Linked DNA regions of Drosophila melanogaster. Changing the gene in region 1 together with any one later gene gives a genetic interaction. Each region holds a gene or a part of one and is shown on either strand. Other genes may lie near its edges. The genes, in order: su(Hw), f, abd-A and HIPP1.

Evidence for each region.
Region 2: of su(Hw) (region 1) and f, changing one suppresses a phenotype caused by changing the other (phenotypic suppression), as found in Drosophila melanogaster (2 studies listed by BioGRID).
Region 3: of su(Hw) (region 1) and abd-A, changing one enhances a phenotype caused by changing the other (phenotypic enhancement), as found in Drosophila melanogaster (2 studies listed by BioGRID).
Region 4: of su(Hw) (region 1) and HIPP1, changing one enhances a phenotype caused by changing the other (phenotypic enhancement), as found in Drosophila melanogaster (one study listed by BioGRID).

Annotation. Positions count from the first base shown.
Region 1 is NT_033777.3:14,303,934-14,310,361, reverse strand, and holds su(Hw) (suppressor of hairy wing), read left to right. Parts: upstream 1-1,772; 5' UTR 1,773-2,086; intron 2,087-2,153; exon of another isoform or gene 2,154-2,327; intron 2,328-2,391; 5' UTR 2,392-2,406; coding exon 2,407-3,264; intron 3,265-3,330; coding exon 3,331-3,758; intron 3,759-3,815; coding exon 3,816-3,948; intron 3,949-4,018; coding exon 4,019-4,209; intron 4,210-4,277; coding exon 4,278-4,402; intron 4,403-4,463; coding exon 4,464-5,554; 3' UTR 5,555-5,907; downstream 5,908-6,428. Other genes in the region: Polr2I (RNA polymerase II subunit I), read right to left, coding at 786-1,175; IFT54 (intraflagellar transport 54), read right to left, coding at 5,952-6,428. UniProt on the Drosophila melanogaster protein: Component of the gypsy chromatin insulator complex which is required for the function of the gypsy chromatin insulator and other endogenous chromatin insulators.
Region 2 is NC_004354.4:17,257,800-17,262,385, forward strand, and holds the start of f (forked), read left to right. Parts: upstream 1-1,574; 5' UTR 1,575-1,675; coding exon 1,676-2,532; intron 2,533-4,586.
Region 3 is NT_033777.3:16,825,059-16,829,673, reverse strand, and holds the start of abd-A (abdominal A), read left to right. Parts: upstream 1-1,568; 5' UTR 1,569-1,670; coding exon 1,671-2,539; intron 2,540-3,366; coding exon 3,367-3,623; intron 3,624-4,615. UniProt on the Drosophila melanogaster protein: Sequence-specific transcription factor which is part of a developmental regulatory system that provides cells with specific positional identities on the anterior-posterior axis. Required for segmental identity of the second through eighth abdominal segments.
Region 4 is NT_037436.4:20,807,663-20,813,853, forward strand, and holds HIPP1 (HP1 and insulator partner protein 1), read left to right. Parts: upstream 1-2,006; 5' UTR 2,007-2,140; coding exon 2,141-3,266; intron 3,267-3,318; coding exon 3,319-3,788; intron 3,789-3,861; coding exon 3,862-4,535; intron 4,536-4,594; coding exon 4,595-4,805; intron 4,806-4,861; coding exon 4,862-5,008; intron 5,009-5,063; coding exon 5,064-5,216; 3' UTR 5,217-5,670; downstream 5,671-6,191. Other genes in the region: CG3634 (uncharacterized protein), read right to left, coding at 1-1,111, 1,177-1,315; CG3618 (uncharacterized protein), read right to left, coding at 5,858-6,191.

The DNA.
Region 1 (6,428 bases):
AGCGACGATTCCGGGGATCGGGCCAAGCCAAGCCAGGTCTACTACTCAAATACTCAAATGGGCAGTCGTTTGATACGCACAAGAAACTTGTTCAATCATTTCTTCGTCGCTTTCGGTTCTTATTTTTTTTATTTATTTTGTTTGTTGTCAGCTTCGATTAGAGCAGAACAATGATAAATATGAAGAATTGTCACCGGGCCGTGAACTGTGGAATTCGCACATGCCTCGGGGAGATTCGTTGCTCGCTCAGTTTTACATTCATAGATTGTCAGTCATAGTACACATTCATTTATAAATAAATAATGAAGACATTTGAATACAAGCGGGCTGACTTGATTAAGTTTATAACTATGAAATCTGGTTTTGCAGTTTATGTTGCCTAAATATGCAGCTTAACCTGCTAAATTTTATCATAAACCCGGAACACTTTCGTTGTTTTCTCAACTGCACTTGAACATTTGATCATTGAAATTAAGTAGTTTTGCCAAAACATATAGTAAGATGATACAGCAGTTTTCTCGCAATGAACTTATATATTTATTTTTAAGACTGAGCTATTTAAACATTTATACAAACCAAATCGAAGTTCTTGCAAGTGATTCAAAGTCATGCGGATCACATGCATTTTTTTTCAGTGCGAATGTTATTACATTAGGCGACAACCGAGAATGGAGCTGCACGTGGGATGTTTTTGCGGCATAGCCATGGGGGAATTCCAATTGTACGATTGCAAAGTGCCTTCGATTACTTAGGGCTACAATTAGAGGCAGATGGGTCGTCAGTTTCTACTCCGTCCAACGGTGGGTGCAGTTCTGGTTGGTGCACACGTAGTACAGTCGCATCTCCTCTTCGGCGCGACGAGTTTGCGCCTGGAAGAAGACCGCCTCCCGATGGGAGCACTTGGGACAAGCGTGGTCTTCGGTGCGCGGCAGCGTGGGATCGGAAATCACGTCGGGCACAATGTGGGTCAGCTCGTCGATCTCGTGCATAATCTTGTTCACGTAGATGCAGTTGGAGTCCGCCTCCTGTTTGTAATCGCAATTCCGGCAGGCGTACAGCAGGATCTTGTTCTCCTTGTCCTCCTTGGGGTACAGCATGTTGTTGCACTCCTGGCAGAACCGAATGCCCACGAATCCCGGCCCCTCAGTGTGTGCGGCATCAAAGGCAGTCGTCATGGCTATTGGCTTACAATTATTGCTAGTTAATTGCAATTTGTGAGTTAATGCGGCTTTTATTTACCTTTTTATCGTTGCAATTGGCGAAAGTGTGACCGTGGCAAGGCGGCTTAAATATACCGAGATCATGGGATAGGTATACCTCATTAACATACTAGCCTTTAACCCTTGTGAGCACTGCTATTTTAATTATATGCTTATATATTTTGTTTTTTATTTTATCAAAATGCATATTAAAGAATGCATTTATTTGTATTTTATTCAATTACTTTTTGTATAAAATGTTAAACCTGATAATTATCTTACCGAGCAACGGCTGCGGTGGCCTTCGACTGAAATTATATATAAATAGTGAAATGTTCCATATAAGCTTTATTGTTCGGATCATTAATCTATGCTTACAAAGTTAACCAATAAAAAGTTAATATAATATTAAGCCAGACACCGGCTATTTATTTTAAATTTATGTTGGAATTATTACAAATTTACAACCCAGAAGATTCAAAACAGAGGAAATTTCTTTGTACTTTTCATGGCGGCATGTTCAGATTATTTTTTCACGGGTTGTTGTAATTAATGGTATTTTCCAACCTACATGCAACGGTCACACTGAATTTTCATACACAAACGCTTGTCGTGTTGGAATTTAAAGCATAAAATTAGGTAAATTGTGATTTATTATCGGAAATGCGGTCAAAACCCTTTAAGGAACGCATCCCGTGATATGAGGACATGTTTGTGAAGCAAATACCTTAGCCAGTGACTTGATAATTTCACGCTCTTTATCGGCGATGGCAGTCACTTTCTTTCGCTGCGGAGCAGAAAAGTGCACTTCTAATCAGCAAAATAAGTGGTTAAAACCGATCCTCCACGTCCTTCGCCGGCACAAAATCACATTAAATATTTGAAAAGTATGCTACGGATTTGCGAGTGTATTAGAATTATTTGCTACCCCTTTGAAATACAATTTTATTTCAGAAGAAAACTTGTTGCGTTTTCTGTGCGTCAGGCGCAGGTAGTGTTGTCTCGCTCACACCAAGGCCGATCGATCGTAAAGATCGAACAGCGCGACGCCATTTTTTCTTAGCAGCTTTTGGGCGTGTGTTGGTGACGCTGGCAAAATGTGATGTTCAGTAAATCACGTGCCTAAAAGTAGACTAAAGCGGTCACTGGTTATCCTGATCCTGAATTATCATCCAATCGATCTTAATTGCAGGCTGGTATCACCAACATGAGTGCCTCCAAGGAGGGCAAGGAAAAGAAGGGCAAGCTGCTGGGTGTGGAAAACATTTCGCCGCCTAAGGACAAACGTCCCGCCACCAGGATGAAGCTCTTGAATGACGTGGGAGCTGGTGAGGATTCGGAGGCAAGCACTACTACTACCACATCAAGAACTCCCTCCAACAAGCAGGAGAAGCGTGGCAGTGTCGCTGGATCGCGCATCAAAATACTCAATGAAGAAATACTGGGCACTCCGAAAACTGAGAAACGGGGCGCCACAAAGAGCACAGCTCCGGCTGCTTCCACTGTGAAGATTCTGAACGAGAAAAAGACACCCAGTGCTACCGTGACAGCCGTGGAAACTACCAAGATCAAGACGTCTCCCAGTAAAAGAAAGAAAATGGAGCACTATGTACTTCAGGCTGTGAAATCAGAAAATACCAAGGCGGACACCACGGTTACCGTGGTCACCGAAGAAGATGACACCATTGATTTCATTCTAGCGGATGATGAGGAAGTAGTTCCGGGCAGAATAGAAAATAACAACGGCCAGGAGATCGTTGTCACCGAGGACGATGAGGATCTAGGGGAGGATGGTGATGAGGACGGTGAAGACTCCTCAGGCAAGGGCAACTCTAGCCAGACAAAGATCAAGGAGATCGTGGAGCATGTGTGTGGCAAATGCTACAAGACCTTCCGTCGCGTTCAGAGTCTGAAAAAGCATCTAGAGTTCTGTCGCTATGACAGTGGGTATCATTTGCGCAAAGCCGACATGCTTAAGAACCTGGAGAAGATCGAGAAGGATGCCGTGGTGATGGAGAAGAAGGACATATGCTTCTGCTGCAGCGAAAGTTACGACACCTTCCATGTAAGTCATAAAGATTGATACCAAGAGAAGTAAGCATAACTTTCGCATACCACATTTTCCTTTCAGCTGGGTCACATTAACTGTCCCGACTGCCCCAAGTCGTTTAAGACACAGACCAGTTACGAACGCCACATTTTCATCACTCACTCCGAGTTCAGCGATTTTCCTTGCTCCATTTGCAATGCCAACTTGCGCAGCGAGGCCTTGTTGGCGCTCCACGAGGAACAGCACAAGTCACGTGGCAAGCCGTATGCATGCAAGATCTGCGGCAAGGACTTCACCCGCTCGTACCACTTGAAGCGCCACCAGAAGTACTCATCGTGCTCATCGAACGAGACCGATACCATGAGCTGCAAGGTGTGCGATCGTGTCTTCTATCGGCTGGACAACCTGCGATCGCATTTGAAGCAGCATTTGGGTACACAGGTGGTTAAAAAGCCGGAGTACATGTGCCACACGTGCAAGAATTGTTTCTACAGCCTGTCCACGCTGAAGTAGGTTTTCTAATTGATTTTAAAAGACATAAAGTAATGTTCGGTATATTTTCGCAGCATTCACATACGCACTCATACGGGGGAGAAACCATTTGACTGCGATCTTTGCGACAAGAAGTTTTCTGCATTGGTGGCCCTTAAAAAGCATCGACGCTATCACACTGGCGAGAAACCATACAGTTGCACTGTGGTTAGTCTTAAAACTTCCGTAACTTTTCATTTAACCTATTGTAACAATGCGGTATTCTATTACCTTTTAGTGCAACCAAGCATTTGCCGTAAAGGAAGTGCTCAATCGTCACATGAAACGGCACACTGGAGAGCGTCCGCACAAGTGTGATGAATGTGGCAAGAGTTTTATCCAGGCCACCCAGCTGCGCACCCATTCCAAAACCCATATTCGCCCCTTTCCCTGTGAGCAATGCGACGAAAAATTCAAAACAGAGAAACAGTAAGATATTAAAAAACCTTTTATCTTTTCTGTTAGCCCTACTTACTTATTGCAATTTTGTTTCGCAGACTTGAGCGCCATGTGAAGACCCATTCTCGCACAAAACGCCCCGTCTTTTCCTGCGCCGAGTGCAAGCGTAATTTCCGCACTCCAGCATTGCTCAAGGAGCATATGGACGAGGGAAAACACAGCCGTAAGTTGGAATCGACAATTGGCAATAATCAAGGCTTTAATCCCGCTCCTACCCTTTGTAGCGAAACAACAACGGTCATCAATGCGATCGGCCGTCAAAATTATGGAACGCACGGATTGCGCCATTTGCGATAAGAACTTTGACAGCAGCGATACCCTGCGACGGCACATACGCACCGTTCACGAATGCGATCCGGATGACATTTTTGGCGTTGAGCCGCATCCATCAAAGCGGGCAAAGAAGGACATCGAATCGGAGGAGGTTGTACCAGTGGCGTTAAACACATCGGCGGGCTCGTTAATTTCTAGCCAAACGGACGGGAATGGCGTTGTGGTGCGTGAATTCCTCGTGGACGAAGGCGATGGCGCGGCCCAGACCATTACACTAGAAAACGAAACATACACAATTCTGCCCCTGGACGGGGCCATCGAGGGAGAGCAGCTGACGGATGAGGCTGGCGTTAAGCCCGAGGCGAAGAAGGAGGAGGCGCAGGTCTCGCCGGTGGTAAAGAAAGAGCAGCGTAAATCCCTGGCCGCCAGTCTGGCCGCTGCCATCGCAGATAATTTGGAAGAATCATGTAGCGAGGATGACTTCAGTGGCGAAATTCTAACTGAGGAGGACATAAAGCTCAAAGAGAATGTGGGTAAACTTATTGATATGCTAGTGGATCCACCGATCCTAAAGAAATACGGCTGGCCCAATGCCCCCGAGGAGACGGTGCTCTGCAAAGTGATCGAGAACTGTGGCCACGACCTAACCAAAGGTGGCGAAAACTACGCTGAGCTTGACTACGGTAGCCGCATGCGAGAGTACTGCAAACTGCTCTTTACCGTGGTCATTCACAACGATTCCATCAAGTCGCTGCTCAATAATTTCCCCATCGACGATGTGATCGAATATGTACTGGGAGATGAGGATCAGGACGAAGGTGGATTGGACAAAGACAATGAGTCACATTCAGGTGATGAAGAAGCGGTGTCGGTCACAGGCGAAACTAAAACAAATGAAATCAGAGAGAAACCGGAAAAGAAGGAAGTTTCGGCGAAATCTGAAAAGAAGGAGATCGTGGGGAAAGCTGTGGATAAGGATAACTCAGAGGAGGTGGTCCGGGAAAATAAGAAAAAACCTGTAGGCGAACAAGAGAAAGCTTGATTTTCCAGCCCTTGATGCATGCGTACAATTACCGCACAAAAACCATATTCTAGGAATTGATCGTTGATGATTTTTACAACATTTGTATTTTTAAGATCGTTGGTTTTGGTACAAACACCAAGTGACCTTAAAAGAGAAACTTACCGTCTGTTGCTTGAATATTCAGACATCTTGCGCATTGACAAATTACCCAAAAACAAACAAACCAACATATTACATATCAAAGATATTTTGATATTATTATATAGATTTTATATATTTTTGAATTGAATGATGTTACCAAGCAATATATGCATGGCTATTTTTATAGTACTCTTATTAATTATAAAATATACAAATTCAATATTTTCGATAAAACTCTCTTGAATTTTTAACAATGCTTATTAATCCTCAATGCTTACTGTTCCATCATCAACTTCAGAATACGTGCGTTGTTTTGCAAGATCTTGTGGCGACTCTCGTCGATTAGCTCCCGGTACTCCGCAATGCTGGCTTGGATTTGCTGCAACTGATGCTGCAGGGGCTCCGTGGCAGATGCCGTGAGAGTCTGCTCCCTTTTTAGTTCCGTGGATGCCTGCGTGTAGGTGTCGCGCCACATCGTAAGCTCCAGCTGCATTGCATCAAAATCCTCGGGTATGCAGTCCAGTAGTTTACCCAGCGGACCTATCGACTTGGTGAGCTTTTGGACTACGTCGCGTACGTCGTTCACCTGGCGCGCAGAAGTTTGTCGGCCTGCCTGTGCTGGAGGCGGTTCCACTTCGGCGCCTTGATTGACCAGTTCCTTTTGCGTTTCCAAGATCTGCTGCACCAATCGTCCCTGGGCATCGAGCTGTCCTTCCAATGCCGGTTCGTCACCGCCACCTTCGACAATATC
Region 2 (4,586 bases), on another chromosome or scaffold:
AGGCAAATGGAAAACGATGATGAAATTGGCCTTAAGTAGCTGAAATAATTATAAAGACTATTATGTACTATAACAAATATGTTTTACAAAAAATATTTACATATTTAAAATATTTACAAACGTAATTTTAAATAATTCTTTTTATAGTTATAGGATAAAATATATTATAACATCTTCAACAATTCATGAACAGATAAATAATAAAAATATTTTCCAATAGATCAACGTGAAATTATAGTTAAGAGATATGATTAATTCGTTTCAAGTATTGTTTTATGAACCTATATTTGTACTATATATGTGGACTATAAAAGGGCCTATTTCACTGTCGCAATTGTTGGTTAATTTGGCCAATACAATGCCAATGGCCCGATGCCGTCAATTAGCCGAGAATAGAATTGTGAACTCGAATTGCAGAATGGCCAGCAACAGCGGTGATAATACCAACAACTATGGGCTTTAGTTAATATTACTATGCATGCCAGTGTTGTTGTTTCTGTTGTTGCTGACGCGTGCTCAGCCGAGTGAAGCGACGTCGACGTCGACGCCGTCAGAGGGTTGCCCCAGAGCAGAGTTGACATGGCAGTGAGCGTGAAAAATAAATAAATAATACAATCAGAGGGGCAGCTAAGCCCGCGACTCTTCAATATTGAGCAAACGTTGAACGTGCACAGAGAGAAAATGCTAGCCTGAGTCCGGGCAAAGTGGATGTAAATCACCTTTAATAGCTTCAGTCCGAACCTGCTAGAAAGTGATTTAAAATGAGTGAAAAGTAAGATAAAAATTAAAATGTTTAAATACGAAAATAAACTTGCAAATAAAAAGCAGTAAAGTCATACAATAAATCTAAGTTTTAGAAGTAGACCGTTAGTGAATAATTGAACAGTTTTACAAGTTGTCGATCCTGTCACACTTGAAATAAATAACTAAAGAAATAGGTATTAAATGACGCAGAAGTCACTCAAGTTCCTATTTAAAAAGGTAAAATGTTTTTTAAAAGTAAATTTGTTTTCATTTTGTTTTGAAAAATATGGTCATTTAGATTGTAAATATTGTATTTAATTTTTTTTTATTTGCAAAATTACAATTATTACTATTATTAAGAGTATTCATTATAGTTAAGTGTGTTAAAATTAATAAAAAAAAATTTAAGTAGATATTAAATGGGCATTTGCAATATTTGTAGCTGCGTGTAGCTGCGGCAGCAGTGGCATATCGGCAAACAAAGCGGCACCAACAACACCAGCAGCTCCAACAAAACAGCCCATAATCACAATTACAATAACAAAAACATTTACATCAACAATAACAATAACAATAACAGAGAAGAGCAGCAACAGAAAACTCTTAATCATGAGTGGCGTTTGGCTGGCAGCGCAGCTGGCGCAACGTTTTTGCATAGGAATCCGACTGCGGATTTTGAAGTTGTATCTTTTTTGGCCAGCGAACATTTGCGTCGCCGGCGTCACGGAGCGCGGACGCGACAAACGCGACATTGCCGAGCGGAAACCGGAAAACGAGCGGGTTTTCAGAAAATCAGAAACAGAACGCAATCAGTGACATAAAGTCAACTAGTTCGGGAATTTGGGGGAACGAATTTTCGGGGTGGGAACGAACGTACAAATACGTATATAGAACCAAAACCAGAAGAGGAACAAGCCACGAAACGAATCCAATGGCCAGTTGTGCGCCGGTGATCGTGTGGAACGGTGCTCAGTTTACGGCCAGCAGCAGGGAGCTGGAGCAGCTGCGTCGCGATTACGGTCTGGATGCTCGGATGTTGGAGGCGACACTGGTGCCGCGATATAAACGCCACAAGCCGCAGGCAGCGGCACGGAATGATCACGTTCGTGTGACCAAGGAGCAGCAATCGGATTGGATCCTCAAGCAGGATCGCAGCACCAACGTCAGCCAGGTGAACTTCCATCCCTGGGCGGGTGCTCACTTCGACTTGGTGCCCTGGCGTCGCACGCGATCCGCTTTGGATTTGACAGCAGTGGAGGATTACAATCACGGTCTGGTCGATCCCAAATCGCTGAAGGGTCTGGAGAAATTGGAGCTGAGACAGCAGCGCAGGAGGTTACAGCGCGCCAGGTCAACGCATCAGGGTCTCCGGCGATTGGTGCGCGTCCGCTTGATCTTCTCCATCGAGCTGCGGCACAAGCGGATGGAGGTGCTAAGGAAAAGTTCGCTGCCCGTGCGGGTTTTCGAGCAGCGCTTTGCCCTCTCGGAAAACGAGAGCGCCGCCTACGAGCGCATCCTGCTGGATGCCAATGCGGGAGTGGACCAACATGTGGGCTATTTTAGCAAGAGGCAAGTGGTTACATCCAACCGGGAATCCAACGAAGAGTTGGTGGTGGATTTCGCAAGCGAAACGGAGGCGGATGAGAAGGCAGATGAGCAGCCGGAAAAGGAGGAGGCCCAATATGCCACAATAGCTCCAGCGGAAAAAGGAGGCAGTGCAGCAGTGCCCGACAAGGAATCCGGCCAGGTGCCATGCGTCAAGTGCCGCGATATTGCCATCAAATTGAGGTAAAAGAAATCGCTAGAAAAAATAAACAAAAACGGCAAACCAGAACACAAATTAGCTGCAAAAATAGACGAGCGCCAAAATCAATTAGTTACAGTAATATGTCGATAAAGACTACAAACAAGTGCAAATTCTACAATAATATGGGAGTGCAAGAAATATCAATTTATTGACTATGGTTCTATATTTAGTGCTATATTTTTTTAAGTGCTACCCGAAATATTTGATATCAGTGCAACCTTTAAAAAATCTTTGGAAACTCGTATTATTATTTAATGAGTCTGTTGCCACGACAAAATCCGGGATGGGTATATAATTTATAGTTTTTACCCATCGGATTATGTGCGAACTTTTGGATCGAAAGCAGCTTGCAAATTTCCCACAAACTCTCCGGCTTTCCCATTTCATAAAAACCCACAGATCTTCATGAGTATAATTTCTTAAATGATTATTTTCTTCCGTTCTCTGTTCTTTCACTTTTTCCGAACTTTGACCATCCCCTTCCTCTCCCATACATATTTACTTAACTATTTATGTTTTTGTTTTGATGCTATGAACGAAAGGTTAATAGAAACAAACTCTAAAGTCTGTAGATTATTAAACTATTTGTATTGTTTAATACTCACTTAAAGCAGCTTGCCTTGAAAGGTTTATAATTTTGCTTTTTGAATTACAGTATTAACCGCATGGATGCGTTTGCCATGCTCATTAGTATCTTAGCCAAAAATATTTTGTATATAGGAGTATTGAGCAAATACATTTTTTAAATAGCTGCACGAATCAATAAGTCTAATGCGAACAGCCAATTGGAAATGTAAAATTTAGTTGTTTCACCTTTAAAATAAGTATTTACTTTCTGTTTACTTGAGTTATATCACGAGCCAGCGATCAAATGAAGCCAAAAAACAGAGGGCACCTCTTAACACCCTTAAAGATCATAATTTTCTTAACCCCCTTTGCCACTTCAGTTGACCAACTGGCCTGCAATGCTATTGCCAAATAGCTTATTTCACTTTTTTCTTTCTCAGCTAAATGTTTGTGAGTTTTGTCGGATTGTTAGCTTTGTTGGCTATGTTGGCTTTGTGGTTTTCGTGGGTTTCATGGGCTCGGTGGCACCTGCCCTGTTTTGTTGACACCTGCTACCGGCCCGCTTCCATTTTCCATTTGCCATTTGGTGTGTTCGGCGATGCCAGCGTTGATGCAATAAACTGGAAGAAAGTGTCGTCTTCGCGGCTTTCTGTTTCTTTTTGTTGCCACAAGAGGAAAGCAGCGACAAACGAGCAAAGACAAACGAGATCCATCCACAAATGCCCGGTATTTTCGCATTTTAATGCTGGCGGCGCTGCTTCTCAGCTTTCAATTAATGTGTCGCCGTGTGTATTGTTTCTCTTAGCATTATTATTATGATTGTTATTGTTTATTTGTGCCGCGGAAACGGCAATCAGGTGAGTCAGCAGCAGACTTGACCTGGTTTAGTGATTCGGAAAAGGGCACTCAGTGAATCCAAGTGCAGCCCAAGATGCGCACAAAGATGCCATCAAAATTAATAACCATCACTTCCCCCGGCCAATTAATTAATTAAAAGTTGTGCCTAAATGGCTGTCAAGCAAACAATTTAATAACAATGAGCAATTTTCGTGGGCTATATTGAACATGCTACTAGATTTGCAACAAGAGTAAAAAAAAAACAATTAGCTATTAGTAAAGAGAAAAATGAAATAAAAGTGAATTTTAAGGAAATTTGTAACTAATTTGCTTCGCAACAAAGGTAAACTTATATATTATTTAGTGTTCCTAGATATTAGTAAAAAGGAAGGCGTTAAATGAATTTCAATAATATATTAAATATTTAGTTTTAAAATTGTGTTGCACTTTCTTGGCAAGTTCGTGTCTTAAGTCCTTAGCTTAGTGTGTAAGTTTGTGTCTTAAGTCATTTGTTTGGGGTGCAGAAAAGTAGACTGCAATTGGAGATACAAAGCAAGCTGAAAAGTATGCAATATTTTTTCTCTGCTGACCCTTGTCAAAGGAGATCGGGAAATGAGATCCCTCGGTTGCC
Region 3 (4,615 bases), 2.5 Mb from region 1:
TTCCGATTCGGATTATACGATTATACGACTATACGACTGTAGTGCGGCAATACGATTCAGTTTCCGATTCGCCGTGTTTATTGTTCCGTTTCGGCCGCCGGCTTATTGTCACTTAAATGTTATAGATCGCGTAAAATATAATAAAATTGTGTGTGAAATTTAAAACCGAAAAAACTGTCAAAACACTATGGTTTATAACTCACTGTGTGCGGTTCGTAAAAATTAAAAAGACATAAAGTTGACATCGTAAAAAGGTTCTCGCCTCTCCGTTCCAGACTTCGATAGTTCTACCTGCAAAGTGTTTTATGACATTTTAAACAAAGTAATTAAAGCAAAACGTTGGGAGAAAGCATTTCTCCGGCCACACACACACTCACGCACTTGAGAAGTCGTTAAAAGCCGCAGGAAACTCACTCTGCCATAAAAATACAAGAGTGCCATTAAAAAAGATCGCGCGCCTATAAATCACACGTACGAAATCCCGCCGGCACGACGTCCATTCGAATTTCCGCGTAATTGATGACCGCATTTTAATTGCTTTTACAACAAATAAAAGATACACACACCCCAAACACACACATGCGACACACACACTTGTGCCACAGCTGCAAATACAACGCAACCCGAGACCATATGCAAATTTAACAAATTTCGTTGTGAATTCGCCAGCTTCGAGCGAAAAAAGTAACAGAAACAGAAAAGCTGCAAATACAAGCTGCTCGCCAAAAGTTCGCTAGAGAAAACTTGAGAAAGGTAACAAAATGCATTTCACTTCTCGGAATCGAGAAAAGTAGCTTAAAGTCGGGCAGCTGGCAAAGTTTCCGAATTCTGTCTCACTAACTCTATCTAAAAAGTACTAACTGTTGGCCATCTCATATAGTACTGTAAAAGTAACCCACATACTAACTCGTTGGCACTGGCAGGGAAATCTAGCTGAAAAATATATAAAGCATTTGGATTATATATTTTTTTCACTTGAGTTCTGTATCATGCTACCCGAAAGATTTATGTTCAATCCAAACATATTCAATTTGGTTAATGTTCTTTTTATGGTTTCCGAGTAATTTTTATAAACATGTTATATTTTTTGTTTTGCCATTTTTAATTCTTGTTTATCACATTGGACGCCAAGTTTATTTTTGTTTTTAGTACCTTTTAATTCGATTAATTTTGTTAGTGATTTATATACTAAGTCCAATGTAGTTTGCATTCGATTATGAAGTAGAAAAGTTAAATACAGAGACGGGAGATGTTCATTAAAGACAAGTAAATTTTAATAGACATTGATACAAATTAAATTGCTGTGTAAATCTTATGAAAAAGTTAAAGAAAAAGATATTTTTAAAATGCTATTTCTCACAGTGTTGAATTATAAAGTCATTCAAGTTTAAGATTTAGGTTGTGCTTACAGAAGTAGTCGGAACTTTTGTTTTATTATGGCTAGAAAGCGCTCCTCTCCACGCTGAATTCAAACAAAATTTGTTAAAGTCACACAAAGAGGAAACTTTAAATTATAAAACGAAATACTCAATCTAGCCATTAACCAAACGACTCAGATAAAGAACCCAAATCATTCGAACTCAGAAATCTCCGAAACTAAAATAGAACAACAAGTGGACTAAACGAAATTCCGAAGATCCGATCCTCGGCCAGAGAGCAAAATATGTGCAATGTCAAAATTTGTTTTCGATAGTATGCTGCCAAAGTATCCACAGTTCCAGCCGTTTATCAGTTCGCACCACTTAACCACCACCCCCCCGAATTCGTCATCTGCAGCAGTTGCCGCCGCCCTAGCCGCCGCCGCCGCCTCTGCATCCGCCAGCGTTTCAGCCAGCAGCAGCAGCAACAACAACAGCAGCAACACGATCGCTGGAAGCAACACAAGCAACACCAACAATAGCAGCAGCAGTCCAAGCAGCAGCAGCAACAACAACAGTAATCTCAATTTGAGCGGAGGATCCCTATCGCCGAGCCATTTGAGCCAACATCTGGGCCAATCGCCCCACTCACCCGTCTCCTCATCGTCGCCCTTCCAGCAGCACCACCCACAGGTGCAGCAGCAACACCTGAACCACCAGCAGCAGCAACATCTGCACCACCAGCAGCAGCAACACCACCACCAATACTCCTCGCTCTCGGCCGCTCTTCAGCTACAGCAGCAACAACACCACATTAGCAAACTAGCCGCCGCCGCAGTTGCCTCGCACGGACACGCCCACCAGCAACTGTTGCTAACGCCCCCGTCAGCGGGCAATTCTCAAGCGGGCGACAGCAGCTGCTCCCCATCGCCCTCGGCATCCGGTAGCTCCTCGCTACACCGCAGCCTCAACGACAACTCTCCCGGGTCCGCATCCGCGTCCGCCTCCGCATCCGCGGCCAGTTCCGTCGCTGCTGCTGCAGCCGCCGCCGCCGCTGCGGCTAGCTCCTCGTTTGCCATCCCCACCAGCAAGATGTATCCGTACGTGTCTAACCACCCTAGCAGCCATGGAGGGCTCTCCGGAATGGCCGGCTTCACCGGACTGGAGGATAAGTCGTGCAGGTAAGATAGATTGCCCTGTTTAAGTATGGGATAATGCAGATTTTTATAAATCGGGATGGGTTTTATGTCCAATCGTAGTAAAATGATCTTAAATGACCCTAATAGGAAGTGCAAATATAAAGTCAATGACAAATGATCTATACTATCTAATATGATATTCAAATATTTGGAGTGCATTGATAGAACTTCTCAGACAGTATCATATTTTAAAATATATGCAAATTTAGTATGACCATTAGCTTTACCTGGCTTCAAAACCTTTAAGAAGATGTTTCCGGGGTTGAAAATACAAAAAAAAAGAAACACTCAGCTCTTCCAAGAACTAATTTCGCGTGCTCTCAATTTGGCGAGCGGAAATGCCAGTCGAGACCTTCAGTAAAATCTGCAAACACTGCAAAACCGCAAATCCGTTTCGAATGCGCTCTAATTATCGGGTCTCGGATCCTGGGACTCTGTCCATTTTCCTCTCGGCCACCGGCCATTCATATTGAATGGCCATAAAGTCGGAAAATTAGAGCAGCCTGTGGTGGCCGCTGGCAATTTGTCGCCGGCCACAAGATTCGCACGCACGCTGACCTTCCGCTGCGGCCATTTGCATATTAGTACTACTGTATGGGCACTCCATGTGCATGTACAGTGAACCCTGCTGTGCGTGGGCGTGTTCGGGATTAGTGTGCAATTAGAGCTAACCGCAGTTTGGTGAAAGGGGCATGCAAATGGCCACCTCATTAGCATTTGACTTTAGTACGGGCGCTGGAGTTGGGAACGTACTATGAGAGCAGGGATCACCAACAATAATGGCTACTTTCTCTCTCCCACACCCACAGCAGGTACACGGACACTGTCATGAACAGCTACCAGTCGATGAGCGTACCTGCCTCGGCATCTGCACAGTTCGCTCAGTTCTATCAACATGCCACAGCCGCCGCATCCGCGGTATCCGCGGCCAGTGCCGGCGCGATCGGCGTGGACTCGCTGGGAAATGCCTGCACACAGCCCGCCTCCGGCGTGATGCCAGGGGCAGGGGGAGCGGGCGGAGCCGGTATCGCCGATCTGCCCAGGTATCCCTGGATGACGCTTACAGGTGAGTCAAAACTCGATACTCGATAGTGCGGAGATATATTATACATAAGTAAAAAAATAACTGCCAGATTCGGACTCTTTGTGAAAGACTTCGGATCTGAATGTGAGTGCCAAATTTGATAAATCTTGAAAGTTATCCGATTTTTAGAATTGAGAATCACACATATCCCAATACAAGTTTATCACACTGAGCCAATCAATCAGTCTTTTAAATTAAGAGTCTGTCTATCGTATCTACTGTGTTCTATATATCATGCCAATCATTATAAAATCAGAAATAATCCGTGCACTTCAGGGAATGTATATCGTCTTAAATCAAGAATAAATTGCCTTCAAGATCTACAAAGCGATCTCTTAAAATTTTTTGTGTACATATAAATCATGGCCACTTACACTGAAATCAAAAAATCAAATAAAAAATTGTAAGAACTTATATTGGATTGAATTATTTAGTCGCTATGTTAGGTTAAATACTATAATTAAAAAATTTAAACAGCTAAGTTGTTTAACAACCCGTAGACTTAAACCAGGTTCGAACTGATTTACAAATTGTATGACCTAACAAAAAGCGTCCAGTCGAATTATCGAATTAAATTTCCCAAGTGTAGTATTTGGAATGGTTGCTGCGTACCTTTTATAAACAATAGATAAACGTGGCGCAAACGTTCCCCAATAGCATTCCCATTTGCACCGCCATTTCGCCTACAATTCCAATTCGTAATGAACACTTTGCGGAGCACTTCCAAGTCGTTTATTTCGCATAAGTCTTCCAGGCGATTCGAATCCGTAAACGAAATGAACGAAGAGCTAAAAAGTTGGCAGTAAATAAAAATGAAAATAGTTTGAGAAATGCTTCTCTTGTCTGTCGTGTTATTTGGCGTCGATTTGTAATTTAAATAGCCTCAAGGTTGCCCCACACCGACAAACGTATAGCCCAAAATGCCGACCAAAAAACACTGCGATGTGCCCCGCGCATACAAAATCCACATATCC
Region 4 (6,191 bases), on another chromosome or scaffold:
CCCTCCACCTGCTTCCAGTGCTTCAGATGGAAGAACGCGTAGGCCAACGCCTCCGAATCGCCGCGCTTCAAAATGTGCTCTGGCGGTAGAATAAGTCGCTTTGTCTCAAGCAGATACTTGGGCACATGCGGATTGAACTCCACCGCCCGATGAATGGCCTCAACGGCGCTCATTTCAGCTTGACTTAGACCTCGCTTGGATGCTATGTCTGGCGAAAACTTGTCGGCTACGGCGCGCGCCTTCAGCAGAGCAGCTGTATAGCAGATAGTCGCCGATTTCGGCAGCGAGATGTCATCGTACTTGGCCAGAATGGCATGGCAATCGGCGTAGGCCTGCATCTCCAGCAGCGTTTCGATTAGATTCTCGTGAATGTTCAGTACGCTCATGATCGAGGGTATCTCCTTGGTGAGATCGCGAAACATTTTAGCCGCCTCCTTCAGCTTGCCCAGCTTGCGGGCGCACATGGCAAGCCGTCGCTTGATATAGATCAGCACATTGGTGTCGCGCCGATGCATGCCATCCGCAATGGCGCCCTGGTGTTGGGTGGCCTGCGACTTGCGGTAGTTGATCTCGGCGACCTTTAGGGCCGTCTTCAGGATCTTCTCCGCCTCCATAATGGTCATGGCTTCCTCCTCGGCCAGCAGTATATAGGCAGGTGCACATTCCGCATTGATTTCCAGAGCACTGTGAGCGGACTTGATGCGCTGCATGGGATTGCGTTCGCGCCAGGCCGTCTGCATGATCTCATACTCCTCCTTGCGGGCATCGCCTTCGCAGGTAAAAAATGTTTGATGGTCCTGGGCACTTAAGTTCATGTCGTAGTAGGTCAACGGCTCCTTGCTGGTGGCCCAAAAGAATCTCTGGTACTCGGCGCCGCGAAATAGATTAAGTGGATTTCGCCAGACCTTACACTCGGGCATTTGGGTGCCCGTACTTGTGGTGGCGCTGCCACTGCCTGATGCCCCTGCTCCACCCGATCCTCCTCCGCCTGCTCCGCCATTGCTGCTGCTGCTGGAGCCACTGCTGCTGCTGCTGCCACTGCCATTGCTGGACTCTGATTGGCCATCGCTGCCATTTATCCAGGGGCTAATGTGGTTGATAGAGACTTGCTCTGCGAAACAGGGACAGTGAAACAGAATAAGAAGGAAGCGGAGGAAGGGGAACCCCACTACTCACCTATAAACGAAGTGCCATACTTCCGGAAATACCACCACTCAAAGATCAGGATCAGGCCCGAGATCAGGCTGGAGGTCCCTGTGAGCGCCACGTAGAACTTAGGCGTCAGAGTGCTGAGAAACATGGACGAATCCCACATCCTGCTGCCTGCTGCCCCCTGCCTGCGAAGTTCTGTATTCGACGCTCGTTTCGCTTTGGCCCCAGCTCCGTCCGGATTTTGCCGCTCTCCGGGATTAGCTTGTGCCTGGGGGTTCGCGGATACTCTGTGCTCTGGCACTGACCACCGCCGAGGGGTTAGATCAATTAACGGTTGCCTTTCTTGGCGCTATCCTTGCGCGTATCCTTGCTGCTGATGAGACTTTTTTCAATCAAGTATTCGAAAGGGGATGAGCGGGGGGTAAATACCAGCGCAACGTGACCGTTTCTCGTCGCCTTCTAAATGCCGCTGAACGTACTGGTCACTCTGAAAAGTTCTTGCGGGAAGACCTTTCAACTTCTTTCAGAAATATTCCACGCATGTATCTAAAGTCTATTGCATGGCCAAGAGATATACACATTTCCCACTGTTATCTATTATTACTTATATTTGTTTTAATAGTTTGGTTCTTATTTGTGCTCAACATATTTCGACAGTTATTTCTTACGATCACGCTAAGAACTTACTCTAATAGCAAATAATAACAAAACCGGTCATACATATTAAAATATATAAGCGAACTACCTGATATCTATTTAATGCTAATTGTTGTTTAAATTTAATGAAAAATGTAATTCTCGAACCATCCACTTTTTCCGATATTTTCACGCCTATCGATAGATCCACCTGCGCACCACTACAAAAAATGGCCGCTGAGCTGCAAGTGCACTTTTTTTTATAATAGACCAATCCGATTGAAACAAGCACGCAAAGCCCTTAATTTGGAACTCCTGTTGAACGGAAAGCCATCAGTGGGGCAGTGGAATCATGGAGCAGGTGTCGGATAGTGCGGTGACAACTCTGGAGTCAACCCAAGCAGAGGAGCCACCACCAGGAGTCGAAAAAGTTGAGACTCTAGAACTAAAAACGGCGGCGTTAGAAACACTCTCGGAAAGTGCGGGTCCCACTGATTTGGAGAATGAGCTGGCCAATCTCAACGGATCTGAAGAGGGTCCAGGCTTGGACGAGCTGAGCACTCTGGAGAGGGAGATAGCTAAGCTGCATAACATTCGACCGCCGGATGCGGCGTCCGAAGTTAAGGATTCCGACACACCAATTGCCTTAGCAGACAATGGTGGCTTAGAGCCCCGCCAGGCCCCAGATGAAGCTAAATGTCGAACCCCAATAATCGAAGAAGGCAACGCTGCCTCAGGCAACGGCCAGTCCAGCGAATCCCCCTTGGAAGAGGTAGATCTCATTGCCCTGCTCAAGGGGACGGATACCAGTCATGATCAGCCTACGGGAGAGGAAAAGTGCACATTGGAGAAGGCTCTCTCCGAGCTTGACGGCGTTGGAGAAGATGGGGATGTAGGTGTTACCATCGAGGGCGAAGGGCAGTTCGAAATCATGGAAATTGACGACGACGAGGGGGAGTCATCGAGTCGAAAAGCCAGCCCCAAGGTACCTGCGTCCAAGCCCATCAAATCTAACTCCTTGCCTTCTATATCCAAGCATAAGCTCTCCCCGGAACAAGCCAGAGCTGTTGCTCTGGAGCAGATGGCCGGTCTAAAGCCAAAGTCGCGTCGTAAGGAGCCGCCTGCGCCGCCTTCTGTGGTCGCGCCGATAGATATTGTCAGCTCGTTGAACGATGATTGGGACGACTACGACTCTGAGGAAGACAAGTCGGCTTCCGCGTTGGTGACAGAAGTTATAACTCTGCCTTCAGCACACGTAGTCACTAAGAAGCCACCTCTGCCTGTGAAAAAATTGTCATCCCCAGTTAAGCACAGCCCGAACTCGGCAATTTTGCTAAACAACAAGATCAGCGGAGTAAAAGTAATGTTAAAGACCGTGAGCCAAAAGCAACTTGCAGCCTCAACAGGGGCAGCAGCGGAAAAAACCAAGCCGACTGTCGTTGTGTCACCTCCCAAGGAAACCGAAGAGCATACTACGGGTACAGTAAAGTTGGAATTCATTAAATCATTGCTTACAAACTGAATTTTTAGGGTTCAAGCGTATGCGTGTAATTAAAAGGAAGATAATCTGGGACCCCGATGTACCAGAGACGAAAAAATCGTTTGCGCAGTATGCTAGCACGAAGGCGGCATGTCCAGCACCCACCACACCAAAAACAACTGTCAAAAGCATTTCGCCCACCACGACGACTAAGAAGGAGGTGGCACCCAAAAAACGGTCAGCTACACCTACTGCTCGGTCTACTAAAGCTGGCACTCCGGTCGGAGGAACAGAGCGGGGTCCCTCGCCCGTCAAACGACGCGCGCAAACTCCGAACACAGGTCTAGCCAATGGAGGAACTCAAAAAAAGAAAAAGGTCTCTGAGATCGATCGCCTGATGGGCGACGAGGGAGCTGCCAATATGATTCATGCAGTGGAGCATGAGCAGCGGGAATTGAGTGGTGGTGAGGTGTCCAATAAGCCGCTGATGCGGAAACGAGCGATGACCATAACCGGAAGGGTAAGTACTTCTACTATAGAAATCCGAGATACCTATTATCGATTATCGAATATTTATGATTTTCCAATACAAGAACCAGGCAGCACGAGTTGCTGTGGAACCAACACCGCCCAAAAAAGAGTCAGCACAATCGGCCGCCAAACGAACGCCTGCTGATTCTGTTTTTACTAAGGCCACCGCCAACACATCTGCCCGTAAGCCTCGCGCTTCCGACTCGTGGGACTATGTTTACAAACAGCGCGCCAGCGAGGAATCGATGATCATGCGTCGGCGCTCCAACAGCTCGTACTCCAGCAACGCTTCCGTAAGTCGAAATTCGCTGGACAATAGGCCCGGAGCAGCCAATCTGTCTGATGATGCAGGCGAGGGCTCGGACCCGTCATTTAAGTTTGTAAAGCCCGTAAGCAAGTCGAGCCAAAGGGGCGGTGAAGATACCTCCTCGCATACGCTGGCTAACGATATGAAGGCGAACAACGGTAGCGAACTGGTGTGCCTGCACAAGGTTAACAAAGTTGCTCACCTGGTCATCCACACGGAACGAGGAAACTTCGGCCATACGTACAGCAAGCAGCTGCTGGAGCAGTTGAACGACACACTGTCCAGTGTTGCCCGCAAAGGCGAATTCAACACGGTGTTGCTTACCGTCGAGGGTCCACAGTTTTGTCAGGGCATCGATTGCCAGGAACTGATACAGGGTTCCCTGGAGAAGCGAAAGGATAGTGCCAGTCAACTGGCTGTAGCCCTTAAGTAAGTAATTCAAATGTATCTTTGAGAAAAGGCTTATTAACGAAACCGTTACATTTTAGATGCTATCTACGCACTCTGGCCACATTTCCTAAACCCTTGGTGGCTGGCATTGTTGGCAGCCAGATTAATTTGGGCGTTATGCAGCTTCCCTTTGCTGACTACGTGGTGGCCTCTGATGATTGTAGCTTCGAGACTAACTATGCCAAATTGGGTCAGCTGCCCGAGGGCTATGCTCTGTGGCATGGTCACCAAAGAGTTTCCAGTGAAGTGGTAAATATTCAGTCTTTTATAAAGCTTATCTACAGCTCATCCCATGTATCGTTCAGCACTCGCGTTTGTTTCTTATGGGTGAAAGACTGTTCGCAACGGAACTTTTGGAATCGAATAGTTTCGTTGACAAGATCTGCAAGGCCAGAAATGTCAACGAAATGGCTCTGGCCAAAGCCAAACAGATATCCACTAGCTCTGCGGAGGTAAAGCGTAACATCTAGTGTTATTATTAGTTAACTTATATTGAAAATCCCACAGATGTATCGTACACTAAAGAAACTCAACCACTCCGCCGTCAATGTCACGAAATTCCCGCGTCTGGATGAGGAACTAAAGGTTATAGGAGAGCAATGGGTTACTGCCGATTGCTTAGCCAATTTCAAACGCTATCTTAACGACGTTGATTTTTAGAGCATTGATTTATAGTTACTGTATACCATTTGGGAATGGTAGACATTCATCCATACAAACCATATAAAGATTAATTCATACATTTAGTTGAGTCCTTTTAGGAGTTTTATTCTGGACCATGAGACTATCGCCCTAAGAATTTTTTTACTCCTACCCCATTGTAAAGTACGAACGCTGTGTAAATTGTAAGAAATTCGGAGGCAGGAGTTATATCCTGTTCTATTAGGATTTTAAAGGTAACTCGATTAGTTGAACGTGCTGGGATTGGAAAGTTTGCAAATTAAATTATCGCTTACACGTTTTAAATTCGAAATTTTATTTTCCGTCATCCGAAATTCCCAAATAGTTCACTTTTCAATCAAACAATGGAGTTTAAGATCCCATGCAATATATCTTGTGTTATATGAAAAAAATGTTAAGCCTCATAATAAATAAAATAAGATGAACAGCTCCCATAAACGGAACTTATCAATTGAAATCTATTTGTCGACTAATTTATTATGGGAGGCTAGAAAAGGTTTTTAATGTACAATGTAATGCACGCAACTAGTTTAAACTACTATTTATGATCGACAGCACGCTTCTGCTGGCTAAATGCTCTATAACTCAACTCAGTTCCTGATCGCCATCTGAATGCCCATCTAGTTGTTCTTGTGGTCCTCGAAGTAGGAAGGTAGCTCTGCTTGGAGGCGCAACAAACGGACGTAGGTCAGCAGTTTCCATTCGCTCAGCGGCTGATCCTCGGGATGCACGAAGGTGGACATGTATGTGACTAGCTCCTGAGATCCGTCCTGGTCGAGATCTGCGACAAGCATCGAGTGGTCCTGGTTGTTCAGATCCGGTTGGCACACCACCTCCTTGCGGTCGTGACGGCAAAACTGGACGATGTTGCTTCGCGAGGTGTTCTCAATGTGGGTATCGGCCCCCACGAAAACCACTAGCAGCACGGTTTCTGTAATCATGTTCATTTTGTAG